Linked DNA regions of Mytilus edulis. The protein of the gene in region 2 purifies or fractionates together with the protein of the main gene of each other region. This does not show direct contact. Links are inferred from orthologs where the notes say so. Each region holds a gene or a part of one and is shown on either strand. Other genes may lie near its edges.

Region 1 (8,130 bases), on a different chromosome or scaffold from region 2:
ACAAAAATTATCAACATAAATTTATTAAAAACATTTACCAGGCATGCGCCGGAAAGTAATCATCAGTACCGTTTGATGGTTTTCTGTAACAAAAGAAGAAGAAGATTAATAACATGTGCGATTAAGATTTTGATGAACTTTATACACACCTGCATACATTACATGATCGGTCCAAATTTTCACTACAATAAGCAAACTTGAACGTCTAAATACTGTCATTCTTTCTTTAATATATTTCTATAAACAAGGAATGCAAAAAGATATTATCGTATTGTAATACATTTTCTGGTTCAAAGAGTTTTCGAACAAAAACGTACTGCTTTACCAAAATTTCAACTAATTTTTAGGGGAGATAAATTGGACTACTTACCGTGTTGCTATACAATGTATGTAGTATATAAAGGAGGAGGCAATTGTCACCGACTTTCTTTAACCAGTGTGAAAAAGTGACTCATTCCGTAAAAATTAAGCTTAGTTCCCCTAATTTATCTGTACTAAAACATGATTGCCAAGATGTATAGCCACTCACTTAGTCCCACCCTACATTTTTTTACGAATTAAAATCCTTGAACTAGGACAATTTTGAATTAGCTGCTTATTAAAAAAAATTGTGCCTGATCGTGGACTGCCTTAGAGGGGATCCACTCCAGACATGCTTCAGTGATTCCCTATATATAAATCAACAAAATGTTTCCCACAAAAGGGGATCAGACTCTCTGCCCCCTCCCAAAATCCGCCTCTGGAAACTACCATTTGCTGTAATAATTAAGTGATCCAGGAACTGGCAATATAAACATCTGCATGACCCATCATCATGTCAGGAACCTCGTCAGCAATTGTATCTTGGTTTAAGTTTTACGTTATATTGAAAATTGGGTGTTGATGGCACAGCTGTTTAATTTTTGACAACTTTTATAGTTTCTGTGCGATTAAGATTTTGATGAACTGTATACACACCTGCATATATATTGTTAAATATAAAAATAAGATGATGTGGACGGTATGGTTTTCTACGAGACAATACTCCACAAGAGACTAAATGACACAGAAATTAACGACTATATATCTATAGGTCACCGTACTGCCTTTAACAATGAGCAAAGTCGACATCGTATAGTTGCTGTCTTGAGAATTCACGTATACCTGACATCTATTCATTTTTTTTAATTCACAATGGGCTTCCATATTGGGATGGACGGTCAATCCTTTTTTTATGTTGGTATAGTCGAAGAAAGATTTCTTATCTATTGTATTATTGTAAAGACTGTTTATTTATATCAACAAGATTATGTTGTTATTTTAACTCGCATTTTGATTTTTTTTATATGAATTAAACAGGATTTTTAATATTCCGAAGAATGTCACATTTTAGTCTTAAATGACAAAATCGCAAAAATAAATGTTCGAAAAAAATTTATGAATTAGTAATAAGGTACACCAAGGCCGTAACTAGGCATCTTATTTTAGTGAGGCAAAATAATTGAGCCGAGCGAAGCGAGGCGTTAAATTTTTTTGGAGGGTATGAAATGAATGGTGCAAAATCCTGCGTTCTAGGCATTTTTAGAGAGTTTGATAATATTTTGAATTTGGACAGTTTTTATATAAATTGTTCATATTTAAAGACTTTTACTAATACCAAATTTTTAACAACTTTATTTGAATTTGTATGTAAGATAATCATCCAAATATCAATTTAAATCTGCCGCCAGAACATAGAACAAACATCGATTCAGTAGAGTTTGTCAATTATTTCTATGGTGGGTTCAGTCAATTAAATTGTTTTAGAATCATAACTTTGGTCTGCTGATATCCTTATCGCGATGAACATGGAGCATGGCAAGACCGCACAACCTCTCGCCACTCATGTATGCTCTTTTCCTAGATTTCAGTCGTTTCAGGTCAGTCTGTGTTTCTAAAGGTAGCACATTATCATCAACACAATGATCAATGTCTTCTTCCAATTCCTTCTCCATCAGCAATTCGGTAGCAGCATCGGTAGTAACAGTTTTGTTTGCAAAAGGGAATTAAGCTTTCCTATAAAGGCTAGCATCATCATACAGTCTCAGTTACAAAATATTAAACTCGCTTGTATGCTGACAAAGAGTAAACAAACTAGGGATAGAATGAGATAAGATACATGTATATGATCTATCTATAGAGTATTAAGTATATATGATATGGGTACAGGGGAATTAAAATGGAGTTTGACGTTTACATGTAGGTCCGTAATTTCAAATTATTTCTGGAAATAGTCGGTGGTATTTTAGTTCCAGAATCTATAAATTAAGGGGTTATGGGTTGGGGGTGTCTGATTCCGAAACCCCGAATATAAAGAAATGAAATTCCGTAGTCCCGAATAAGTAAAGACAAAATCCTGTGATAAAGGTTCTATACCATTCCTCAATAATGTCAAATTGGAATATGGGATGTTCTTTCAATTTTTAAGGATAAAGAAACATGGATCATGAAAAACTAATCCATGCATGTTTCATATTATTTATATTTTATTTATCTGTAAAGAGAAAGATTAAAGTTGATGAAACTGAGAAATGAATACACAGACAGGACTGCCCCCTTGCGATGCCCACTACTTGATTTGTCAGTCTACTTATCGTTTTTGGATTGTTCTAATGAAGTTATATGCAATACGCAGACTACGTTCACAAACAAATTAGTTTACTAGAATTATTCCTTCTTTACCTTCAGTGTCGCTTTTCCTTTTTCTGCAAGAGCCTGTTTTTAACCAGAGATCCATGATGATTATCGTTACTAGGTTAATGTAATTGAGAAACATCACCCGTTGAGATGCTGAGTTATATCCAGGAAGAATAGTTTAAAGGAATGATGACAAGTTATAGAAATTAAGGTTGAGACAGAACAACAAAAGACTATTTTATTTGTATATATGTATAAAAAAAAATAATCAGTGTCGAAATTTTAGTGAGGCAATTGCCTCACTTGCCTCAAGGGTAGTTACGGCCTTGTACACATGCAAGTAACTAGTTTTACTTTAGACTTTGAAAAAGATCACCATTGACGTCCAAGTGGTTGATTCATGGCATGTCATACTCGTATTCATATATACGTTTCGTATGTATGGCAATCTCGGTAATCCTTTTATGTCAATTAATTGCATCTGATTTAATGCCCATTATCGGCCCTGTAATTTGGGAAATCATTTTTTTTTATTCTATATTCTGTTCTATTCTATAGTATAGGTAAGTTTTGAATATTCAGTGCCATTTGTATCGAATTCCCAATAGAAGTGAAGCAATCATTTGCGATAAAAATACACCCCCTACAAAAAAACCCCAACAACAACAACAATAAAAAACAAAACAAAAGCAAAAACAAACATAAACATTAAAAACGAAAAAAAAACAACCCCAAACATTATGATTAAAAAAAAGACTTATTTTAAAAAACTTAAAAAAACGACCAAAACTATTTATGTATGTGCCTGTCCCAAGTCAGGAGCCTATAATTCAGTGGTTGTCGTTTGTTAATGTGTTACATATTTGTTTTTCGTTCATTTTTTTTTTTTTTTATATATAAACAAGGCCGTTAGTTTTCTCGTTTGAATTGTATTACATTGTCATTTCGGGGCCTTTTATAGCTGACTATGCGTTCTAGTATGGCTTTGCTCATTGTTGAAGGCCGTACGGTGACCTATAGTTGTTAATTTCTGTGTCATTTTGGTCTGTTGTGGACAGAAACTGTTGTCTCATTGGCAATCATACCACATCTTTATATATATATATAAAATCTATACAAAACAATGTATAATCATTGAATGTTTGCAATGACTAAAAATTCTAAGCTAGTTTTTTTTCAATCATCGGCACGGTTCAAAATGACATGGCAATTTATATATATGTAGACAGAGACATGTCTCTGATGTAGAGTATCAAAAGGTGCATTATATAAACAAAAAGTCCCACTACTAGCGTCATGGCTACTTTTTCACTATGCTAGCAAATATCCAAATGTGCATGTATCTTTTTTTTTAATCTTACCAAATTAAGCCTGAAATAATAGTAACTACTGCCCACCACATCGTTGTACGACTGTCAACTATCTATATAATTTATCTATTTTTCTGTATAGTCTTTCAGATATATCTAATTAGAAATCAGGTATTGCACATGATAAAAAGACAATTATTGTAGTTCCCGCATTCCTAATACACATTATATAAAATTGCAAATAGTGAAAAGTCTATCCCCCTTTTTTCTCTTATACCAAATAACAAACAAACAGACATTTTAATGACGTATTAAGAATGTGGATAATATACAGTAAGATCTGAACGCTGACTGAAGTTTATGATTATACTATCCTTTTAATTATGAATACGATTCAGTCGTATACTTGGCCTGCTTACGTGGTACAAAACATATGTAAATCATTGTGCGTGACTAAACAAGCTATAACAAATCATTTTTTATTTGGCCTAATGATTGATTTTCATTGTATTCAAAATACAGGATTTAAAAAAAGTTAAGTTTAGATAAACAATTAATTAATAGGATTTAGATAATAACAATAATTAAAGTAAATTTCAAATATTCCAATTATTTTCATCGAAAAAAATTATGAACTTTGATACCCTACAAGATATATGTATGTAATCTCTATGAAAGACATCAAAATAGTTCGGAGTGAAAACCAAAGCCGCCGAAGGACGAATGACGTCACGTGTGAAAAGAGGAGGAAGACAGAAAAGCCGAGAAATGGCGACTCCATGAAATGTCGTCTGGGGGTGATACTGACCGGACACTACCCATATTTTATTGATGTATTTTTGTCGGCTTGTTGGACTTTTGGAACACAACTGAGAGAACAACACAATAATTACCAGTCATGGCTGCAAACATGTACAGAGTAGGAGGTACGGAAGAATTATTGGGAAACAGCATGGACGGTCCCCACTCTTCCAACGCGTTGGAATATTGTGTCACCATAATCATGCATTTAAAGAGAAATAAACCGCATTTTTTAGGAAATTTGTTTGTTTACTAGTGAAAATGGATATTCAATCATTTTTGTGAATGTTTTGAAGTGTAATGTGGAAAGGAAGTTCAGTTTGGGGATCTCAAGGGGGAAGTAAAGCGGTCGGAATGACAGAAGGAAGAAGTTTTTCTCCTTTTCTAAAACATGGATTTACGAATGTTTATCTAACAAATCAATGGAAAGATTCGTATATTCAGTTTGTATTACAATTATTTATATTAGAAAAATACTTTAAATTTGAATTCAACTGGTACTTAAGTTCAAGGAAGCTTTTTAAAATGGACTATGTTTTGGCGGAAGGATTATACTACAAATTAATTTTAAACAAAGAATTTTTATTTTCTTATTACAGATTACGTCTATTTTGAGACAAGTTCAACAACTCCATACCAAATTCGACGTATAGAGGAACTAAACAAGGTACAGCATTTTATTTATTTTCTTTTTTATGTCGTAAAATTAGCTGTTTAATAAAAAAGAATGTAAATTGAGGCCGGTAAAGGGCAAAGAGGTACCTATGGGGTGTTAATTTATCACACTGGGTGGTCACGTGTTCAGGTGATCGAAATGGCTTCGATATCAGATGTCTATTTTCATTTTTTCAGACTCCAAATGGCAACGTCGAAGCAAAAGTTATGTGTTTCTACCGAAGAAGGGACATCTCCAGTTCACTTACCCTGCTTGCCGATAAACACCAAAGTAAGTCTGATTCTACTTTTGAAAATTGACTGCACATAAGTTCTGTGTGTTGACAGTGCTTGCTGTGGAAACACAGCATCATAACATTATATTTTCAGAACTTCAAGAGTTTCATATGTGTAAATTGGGAGTATTTACATCAGGAAAACAACATTAGCACGTGGATTTTGTACTACAAACGAAAATAGTCCGGCAATGAGAGAGTTGTGATTGGTTAACTTTAGTTCATTGATGAGATGGGGCTGTACCTTTTCAAAATGTAAACAACACCCATTCCCAGGGCATAATATCAACTTTTGGTCCATATTACTCGCAAATAAAAATATATATGCGAGTCTTCTCTTACATTGATTAGAGGAAAATATATTTTATTTTGAATTAGTTTTATCTTGTGTTGTTGACTACATGTATTTGTTGTCAGCTTTAAAACTGACCCATACATTGTAGGACATTAGACCTACACAAATGTAATTGTTCTTGATTTGTTTAAATTGCTTTAATTGTATAAATAGAATAACGATACATTTTAAACAACTAACAAGGACAAACAAAATTTGGGAAAGTTAGTAATTGTATCCTATTATTAAATATCTAATAACAGCAAGATGTGTTGTATTTTAAGAATTGTTAGTTTCATACAAGGTTTAATTTTTGCTTCGCCAAGCCATTTCTTACCTAGATAACTTTACAAGCACAGTAAAAAATACATAGCAAAACTTTTCATACCTTGAATTTCAAATTTCGTTGTTGATAAAAAATTTGTTTTTTTGACTTTTCAATATTTTACTGAAAGATGGTCATAGAATGTCTTAGACTTTATATTTTGCAGTTGACATTTAAAGACAGTCTGGTCTTGATTTTTTTTCATGAATTTTCATTTTAAAATGATAAGATTAAAAAGACTATCATTTTGATGATTTTTTATGAAACTTGAAAAGAAGCTTATTTCAAGATCAAGAAATGAAATACAAAGTAACACCAAAAGTGCGTATAAATCTAAAAATGGCAAAAGTGATGCAGGGTTTTAATAACAATGTTTTTGTGTGGAATTTCAGAAAGCCTCTAAATTATGTATCAGTACAATTATTTTTAATTTAAATTTGTCCTGTTATTTAAAACTTTGCTTGGCCTTAAATATATAAAATCTTGTTTCCTGTCTCATGGCATAAATCCGTGGATTGAAACTTTTCCTTGTCTAACAACACAACATTTTTTTATTTTAAAATTTATTGAATGAATGTTGAAAAAAATTAGACATACATTGTACATTTGTACATGTTGGTTTTTCTGTCCCTTTCCATCAGTCCAGCAAATCAATTTTGAAGATATTGATTTGATATTTGAGATATTATTTTATCTTAACAAGTTATAGATCAATATAAAAAAGAAGATGTGGTTTACCGATAAAAGGCTTGTATAGTCTGCGGTTTATTCTCCAAAATTGAACCTACCAGCTGGGGTGCGGACTAAAGAGTACAATAAGCAAGAAATAAGAGAAAAATTCAAATTTCGCACTCTTTATAATTTTTCGAACTAATAATTTTATCTAATCCATATTAATAAGTTATTATTCAATATCAAATTAATATTGAATAATAATATAAATTTAGAAATTAAATGCTTCATAACAAATTTCTAATTTCTTTTCATTGCATTGCTTATAAAATAAACTGGTATCTGCTTGAATGAAGCTGTACCAAAAAAGTAAGAAAGACAATCATAAACCAGCTTACAGTGTGTAAATTAGAAAACGTAATCAGTTATTATACGTTTCTTATTCATGTTTCATGCAGACTAATATGTTATTTATTAGCTTAAAACCCTTCAAACACTAATGTGATAGATATATTTAACACTTATTTACATCAGGATGGAACTATTTTACTTTCAAAGTTGTATTATATTGATATCTAGTCAATTGTATGTACAGATTTTGACTCTCGCCGTATTTTTCTCTGTGCTTGTCAAACTTCCGTTCTAAACTTTAAACATAAACAAGTTTCTTAATTGTTTTTTGTGGGATATAAACTTATTTTAACAACTGTGAAGGGTTTGAGAATGATTTACAAGCAGTTTCAGCTTCTATTTGATGATGGAAAATAGTTTTTTCCAAGAAAATATTGCATACGCCCACATACGATTTGATATTACAGGAGTTTCATTAGACCTTTTCCAACAGTTACAAAAAAGTTTTTTATCAAAAAATTTTGTGGGGAGATGGGGATGTCAACTTTGTACCAGTACGAAGCCCCATTACTGTAATTGCCAATGAGACAACTCCACAAGAGACCAAAGGACACAGAAATTAACAGTTCAAATTTGTTTTGGTCTGTTGATTTTGTTAAGAGTGATGGTCCTTTTTGAAGATATTAGCTTGACATTTGTTTTATAGTTGACACCATGACAATTTAGATAAGT
Region 2 (7,972 bases):
AATTTATAACGGACAGAGAAGACGGACGACGGACGCCAAGTGAAGCTCATTTGGTCCTTGTGGGCCAGGTGAGCTAAAATAAATCATGTTTAATCGTACTTTACTTATAAATGGACTGAGTTTTTCTGCCAGTTAACATAACATACAGTCTGTGATTCAAGTTTTAAAAAACATTTAGATTCCTAAAGTATAGGCGAGACACTGGGTTCCGCGGAAGCCTTACACATTGTTGTTTATGATTGCTCTTTTGTGAGATAGTTGAACTTATCTTAAGATTTTATTTTGCAATTACGGGGCCGCCAACAATTGGTGTCTCCTAGATACTATAAAATAGCAATGCAAAAAAATAAACACAAAAGAAGTTCTACATTGATACAGTTGTGCGGGTCATCACTTTGTTTTTTTTTTTTCTTTTCTTTTTTTAATATCATGATTTCAAATTAAAATCACATGAAATAATTTAATTATTTTTTCCTACGTATATGTATGTCTTCAAATTCAAACATAGATTAGCCTTGTTTGTAGCTTCTGTAAACCAAAATTACTTAACAATTGCGCGTTCTCGATCCTAGACTGTCAACATCCTACAAGAAAAAGCCAAGGATTTATAGATAATCGAGAAGGGTAATCTAAGATTCCATGTGGCCAAATCATTTCCATGAACACAGCCACTTCAAAAAATCTGGTGGTTTAACTATGGGTCTCGCCAGAAGATGAAGTCATGTTATATATGCAATAAAAACTGTCCACAGATCAAAGAATTAGTCAATCAGATAGGTTAAATCATATGTTGAGTCAGACGATGAAACGTATATTCTAAATATAAAGAAGGCGCTGATAAACCCAACAGTGAAACAAAAACCTTACCATTAACACCAAATTATAATATATTTAACAGTAATTGTCAGGGGGTCTAGGAGTACTAAAAGGGCGTGCGCCACTTTGATTGCCATTCAAAAGAAAAGAAAAAAGACAAAAATATCATGTTTATCACGATTTATATGAATTTCCAGCCATAAATAAAGGCAATAGTAGTATACCGCTGTTCAAAGGCATAAATCGATTGACATAAAACAAATTCGCGTTACAAACTTAAACTGAGGGAAACACATCAAGAGGAAAACAACGGAACAACAGAAACGCTGAGGTGCAACAAAAACAAACGTCAACATACATCGAAACGAACTATTTGATAACAAATGCCATATATTCCTGATCTGCGTTCAAGACATTTTAAGAAAAATGGTGGGTTGAACCTGGTTTTATTGCTAGCCAAACCTCCCGTTTATAAGGCAATGTTAAAAAATATCGCTAAAATGACAACACTAAGTGACTGGAATACAGAATACAAACAATCGTCCAAATAGTTTTTGCCAAGCTATGCTCGGCAGTATATATTCCGTTTTCTGAAATAAATAAAAAACAAGTAATTTTTTTTTGTTCAAGCTAGAGGATACACAAAATTGAGTTGTCCAGTCTTTTTTTACCTTTATTCTGCCTGTATCTTAATAAGCAATGCATACAAAAAGAAAAATATATGCAATCGATATAGTATGTATATAGACAAATGTTTCAGATAACAAATTAAAAAACTAAAAAGATACCAGAATAAAAACCATGCAAAATTTAACAGAATCAATAAAAAGAATGTCATCAAAGAAAAGCTAGTTTCAAGTACTTATAATCAAAAGATGTAGGAAAAACGTCATCTTATGGTTAAAATATGTCATGTTGTCATCAAAAGTGGATTTTAAAGTTGTACGTCAATATCATCAACAGTGCAGAAAAACAGGACCCCTTGCAATGGGTCATATGTATATCCGTATATCAATTATATCCGTATATGTTAATTTACCCCCCCCCCCCCCCTTTTTGTTTACCTTTAACAAACGAAACAAACAAAACTAACAAAACAAAACAAAACAAACAAACAAACAAACAAACAAACAAACAAACAAACAAACAAACATAACAATCATAACAAACATAACAAAACAAACATAACAAACAATACAAAACAAACCCACGAAAGAAGAAGATAGAAAGTTATCAAAAAAATCATTCTGAAAATAATTCTGTGAGCCAGCTTAACTGCAGGAGGCACCAATGGACAGTGCTATATGGCATGGTGGTGCATATTAAAATCTGTATAGGGGCATTAATGATATGGTAAGATATATAAGGTGTTTTTCGCAGTCCTGTATTAAATTAAATTCAATTTTATTCTCGTGACAATTAGTTTCTCAATTAACCTAACTTGTGATGATCAATATAGTTATAGCATTACCATGCATGCAAATGAAACAAAAACATGTGATTTTTATCTATAAGCCTACAGTACGATATTCAAAGCTGAAACAACCTGTTGTTAAAAATCTATACAGTTCTGGTTATTACCAGTCGAAAAAAAATCTGGGGAGAACATGTTCTTTAAGCTCTGCTATTTCAAACTGAATCAAATATTTAAAAAAAAGTTGCAGTACTTCACGCTGAAACAAAGCCGAACAAGAAGAATAGCTAAAGTTCTGTTTGAAGAAACACAAACAAAAACACAAACACAAAAAAACATTCAACGAAGATCTTCAGTACTTTCCTATCAAACTGAAACAAGCTGAGAAGAAATCTAGCTGTCTGCTTTAAACACTCGAAACAAGCCTTGTAATGATATATAGTTTACATGTAAATATAAATTTAGAGTTGTGCTATTACAACCAAATCAAGCTCTACAGCTCTGATATGTTTAGCGGAAACAAACCGGATAAGAATATCGAGATATCTGTCAGTTAAAACAAAATCACGAGAAAAAATATTTACAGTACTTATATTCTAAACTGAAATAGATACGAGAAGAAAAACCTTTACACAAGTTCCATCTGCTGTTACCAGCTGAACTTGACCAGAAATCAAACATGAAAAGAACATATATACAGCAAGTACTGTAACTGCAAGTTGAAACATGACAGAAAAGAAAATATATAGAGATCTTATATTCAGTTGAACAAACATGGAAAAAAGAACTATATCGGCCCGTAAATAAATTCTTGGAAAACATCTAGTTCTCGGTGCTCTTTGTTAGTTAATTGATTGATAGAAGTTGCTTGACGCTCTGCTATGTTTGTAATAAAAGGCAATTGACTGAACCAGTTAAGGTTTGAAATGAAGCTAGAAGACTATAGTAACATGCAGAAAACTGCGGGGCCGGAAAGTGATAACAAAGTATATACGGTGTGTTTGGGTGGTTTTTGTGTGTGTGTGTGGGGGGGGGGGGGGGGGGGGGTGGGGGTAATTGAAGATTATATTAAGCAGAAACTCAGTAAAGAAGTAATATAGAAAGTAGAAAATAGTTTTTGATCACGCATGTTTATTTCAATAGCATTGGGGAGGATCTTAGAAAACACGCATCAAAGATATATAACAGGCTTTAAGCATTTGCTGATTGTTGAAGCCGTATCGAGTTATTAACTTCTATATGATCTTGTCTCTTGTGGATAGTTGTCTCATTGGCAATCATACCACATCTTCTTATATTTGTTCAGTTTCTAACAGGTTTTTGTTAATATACGCCAGACATTGCTAGATCATAGAAAACGAATCGTTGACCGTGCACTTGAGGGCTGCCGCCAAATCAAATATGAATTTAAAAAGTATAAGAACCAAAAATGCTAAAATTTGTCAAATTATCACGACAAAATACAACCATAGCAATCTGCGGTTCGGGTTATAAAACTCTTTGTATGTGTAATACGACTAGTATATAATCTACCTATATTTGCGCTAAATATGTAAACTTGGCTTCAAGTAAGAAAAATCTTTGAAGAATCTGTCATCAAACTGTATTTTCAAAATTAAAAAAGGGTTCAAATACAATAAAAATTCAACTATGATTTATTTTTTTTTGGTTTTACAAAATTTATAAACGTGACAAGAGACGAAATATGGTATTTGAAACACACTTTATGATTTATCATTTACTTTCTCATTTAATTGGAATAAATATTGATAAAGCTCTGTCTAAAAAGGAACAAAAATTATCATGGTGACCTAATTATGTGATTACAAAAGTGAGATTTTGCAACATTTCAGACAAAATATTTGCAAAAGCCGAAATACTTTTAATTTCACATTTTATTTATGTGTTTTTATTAAACTGTATAGGTCAATTTGCAATATATACTTAATTTTGTGCATAAGTCGTTAATTTGAAAATTAAGCGATAAGAAATAGATTTTTGTCATCTTAACAAAAAGATGATGGGGCTCTACAAGCAATTCATTTTGTTAAATATGGATGTGTAAAAACTTGTCATTTAATAATTGTCTAATTTTTGTGTAAACATGGAAATCTCAGGTATCATTTGAAAATCGAAATTGATGGACATGATAAGGTACCCAAGTTTTTCTGAAACAATTAAAGTATGCCTAGGGGTACTTTGATCTTGCACCTCATTAAATCACGTGATAAGTTATTAACTAAATCAAGAAAATTATGGGATGTATAAACCAATCATTGACGTCATACTGCGCATGTTCGATTAAAGTTCCAAACCGCGACGCTGGGGGAAAAGACAGGGCATCCTAATTACCATTCAAAAATCATACAAAAAACGCATGCCAGCGCAAAATATATGGTGAAATCACGGAATCAGACATTTAAGACTTTAATTTTTGTGTGACATGCCTGGTGGAAAGTTTGACGACGAAGAAAACGTGGAAATGGAAGAGGAGGCCGGCGAAGGTAAAAACCAATCAGACATTGTTTAATTAGCCATCGATAACAATATAGGATTTCACCTACTGAAATGTGAAATAGTTAGCTATAGAATAGTTCAGACCATAGATTTATGATCCATTTAGCTATAGACATACTCTTCAGTCAAATTTATTTTGTTTTTATACCATGTTTTAGTGTTTTAACATGACCAAACCACGAGTCTGGAATCCCCCTTTGTTCATTTGCATATTCGTGGTAAATACGGCCTATTTTGAGGGTATTCCCCAGGTTTAAAGCGTTTTGAACTTGGATTGTATTAAAGATATTCATGAAAATTGAAGTGAAATGTTCATTTTGATATTTGGGAGAATTTTGTTATTCTTTTAATTTTCAAACGACGGGATAAATATCTGGATATATATCAATGGTGTCGGCTTATCACTGCGCATGACCAAAGTTATTTTAATTAATGAGGTCAAACTTGCAACACTTGTTGTGATACACAACGAAAACACATGATTGATTATCAAAAAGATGTTGACTTGTAAATATGTTTTAGTGATTAAATATAACAATATGGAGGAACAAGAGTTCGAAGAAAGCTTTTTAGAAGAACATTCAATCTATGAATGATTTATAAATAGAACAGCACATGTCTATTTTCATTTTCACTTCAAGCTTGTGCAAGGCACCATCCAGTTTACGTGGAATTTTAGGCTCTAGTTTTTTGTTGCATATTAAAAAAAAGTGTGATTGTAATGCACACATCAAATGAATATTTATAATATTTCGAAAAAAAAATGATAATTATTTATACAGTGAGGTGGTGAAAGATTATATGGGGATTCACTTTATGTTTATTTGGTAGCATTAAAGCTATGCATTTGCTATTATTAATAGTATGAGTTATTTGAGTTGTTTATCCCCCATTAATATAAGATTATTTGTGCTTAAAGATTAAATATCAAGTCTGAAGTTCAAATCCTTAAAAATGTGTCTGTATTAATTTTTGTTCATGGAAAAAAATTGGGTTTGCTACAAATATTCAAATGCCCATCTAACCCAAATAAAAAATTAACCTGAAATTAAACATTAAATTATATGACTCAGTTTTTAAAGTAATAATTAACAAAAAAAGATACAAGTGGGATTATATGTTGATTTCAGAATCCAAGAATTCAGCACTCTGTCCATTGTCTAAATCACCAACTCCACCCCTTACCCCTGCAACAGAGTTGGTCCATATGGGCATCACTTGTAAGTAATGGTTCCCTGCTTCAGCTTGATTTTGCATGTTTGGTTAGATGGAGCCCAGTACATGTTAGATGATCTTATCTTTTAATTTCGTTGCCATTGGGAAAGAAGCAACAACAATAAATTGTTAGCACTACAGTGGTTGGTACAAATTAATATGCAAATGTCATATATAGGTTTATGATTTTAGGTATATTATGAAACTCTGGTCATTCTGACAAACTTATTTTTGTTGCACTTATGCCCAATAATTAAAGTCATAAGAAACCTCAAATTAAAAAAAATAATGCATATGTTTTTTATAACTCAATGGATAGTTTTCATTATAAAACTTTTGTACTGTACATATACTTTTTTCTGAAGATAATTCTTTAACTTGTTCATATTAAGAAGAAGTTGTCAAAGAGAAAACTTTTTTTAAGGGTTACCCTTGATTTGGCTGGAGGCAAAAAACTACACTGTCTGTTTGCAATAGTAGTAGTATATAGAAATGGAGTTTTAGATCTATTCAACTTATTAATATTTTTAATTTCAGTACGTTTCTATATATATACTCGGAAATATTTTGTTATGTTTACTGTTTTGTGATGGTGGTAGATATTATTATTTCTCTTGCTTGTGTTATGATTTGAAATGAAAATGCAATTCGAACACTTAAGATGGCAAACTATCAGTATTTCGTTTTGTGTTCGTACATGTACAATACATATGAACATTAATATACAACGCTGGCTGGAAGTCTCTTATTGAACATTTGGTTGACAAAAAATTGTTCTCCCCAGAATTTTCAAAAAGCACCATGGAAATCAACATAGCACTGATTTACCAAAAAATACAGCACCATGGTCTCTATATACATGTATACATTCTATTAGAAAATCTTTCAAGATGGCATCAGACATGATGGTGCTTTTAGGCCCTGGGGAGAACATTGATTGTCAATAAATAAAAAAAAAAACTAGACATATGATATAACCAGACTTCACTGGAGGTTTTTTTTATAATTTCATTTCTGGACTTCTGTTCAACAATGTCAAAAACTGCTTATTTGACTTTCAAATTATTTGTTCCATCTTACAAATATATGTTTATAGTACAGCTATTGAGACATCTTTGACAACACTTCTTGCACCATAGACAATGCTAGACCACCTAGGCTTGCTAGACCAAGTAGTCTTGCTAGATCATTATGTTTATATTATGTACAGAAAAAAAAAAGTTTACCTGTACGTACTTTCTGTTGATTAATGTATTACATGTGTTGTGTGAATTTTTAATTTACAAAAATATTTACCTGAAATGATAATTTGATTGAGTTTTTTTTATTTTGAACAATAGAATTAGGCTAGTTACATGTATATGTACATGTTTTACTTCATTTGTAACATTTTATTTGTAGACCTGTTATTCATTGTACTTGTTTTTTTTTTTTTTACTGTTTATTTATTGTTAGAATGTTTAACATTTTACCCATATATTTTCACCCTTTTGTATGTATGCATGTACATCAACAATATTTACAATCTTCAACTTGTGAAATTTTAATATATTTAAGTTCTAACGTTGTGTATATTTTTAAAAAATAAGATATTTTAGGATTGTGAAATTTATGAACCATAAAAACCTGTTGTGTTCTTATGGAATAGATTTAAGATAAGTTAATATATATTTTTGTACAGCCTTCTACATTTAGCAAAACCTATACCATATATACATATGGTCTGTTGAAAAAAACCCACCAAACATGAAGAAATGTGAAACAATTTAAACAAAAAAACCAACAACCTGATTTATGAGATTATTAAAAAAAAAAGCCAAATATGACAGATACGAAAACAACCAAGGACAACCACTAAACATTTATGTATGAACATCAACTTCTAAAAAAATATGTGAAAGGTACTAAAAGTTTGTTATTAGAATAAGAATATGTGGCATGATTGCCAATAACACCATTCTTCAGAGGAGATCAAATGATGTGGTTGCATAAGCTGCAAGCAACTAAGGG

The links.
Region 1: the proteins of chromodomain-helicase-DNA-binding protein Mi-2 homolog (region 2) and metastasis-associated protein MTA3-like fractionate together in Drosophila melanogaster (co-fractionation; 3 studies listed by BioGRID, with this or other methods). This does not show direct contact. The link is inferred for Mytilus edulis from reciprocal best matches to the Drosophila melanogaster genes Mi-2 and MTA1-like.

Annotation. Positions count from the first base shown.
Region 1 is NC_092346.1:39,274,279-39,282,408, forward strand, and holds the start of metastasis-associated protein MTA3-like, read left to right. Parts: upstream 1-4,458; 5' UTR 4,459-4,863; coding exon 4,864-4,891; intron 4,892-5,365; coding exon 5,366-5,433; intron 5,434-5,618; coding exon 5,619-5,712; intron 5,713-8,130.
Region 2 is NC_092356.1:18,627,771-18,635,742, reverse strand, and holds the start of chromodomain-helicase-DNA-binding protein Mi-2 homolog, read left to right. Parts: upstream 1-4,521; 5' UTR 4,522-4,673; coding exon 4,674-4,734; intron 4,735-5,877; coding exon 5,878-5,967; intron 5,968-7,972. UniProt on the Drosophila melanogaster protein: ATP-dependent chromatin-remodeling factor which acts in nucleosome-remodeling by catalyzing ATP-dependent nucleosome mobilization. Involved in regulating transcription. Plays a vital role in development.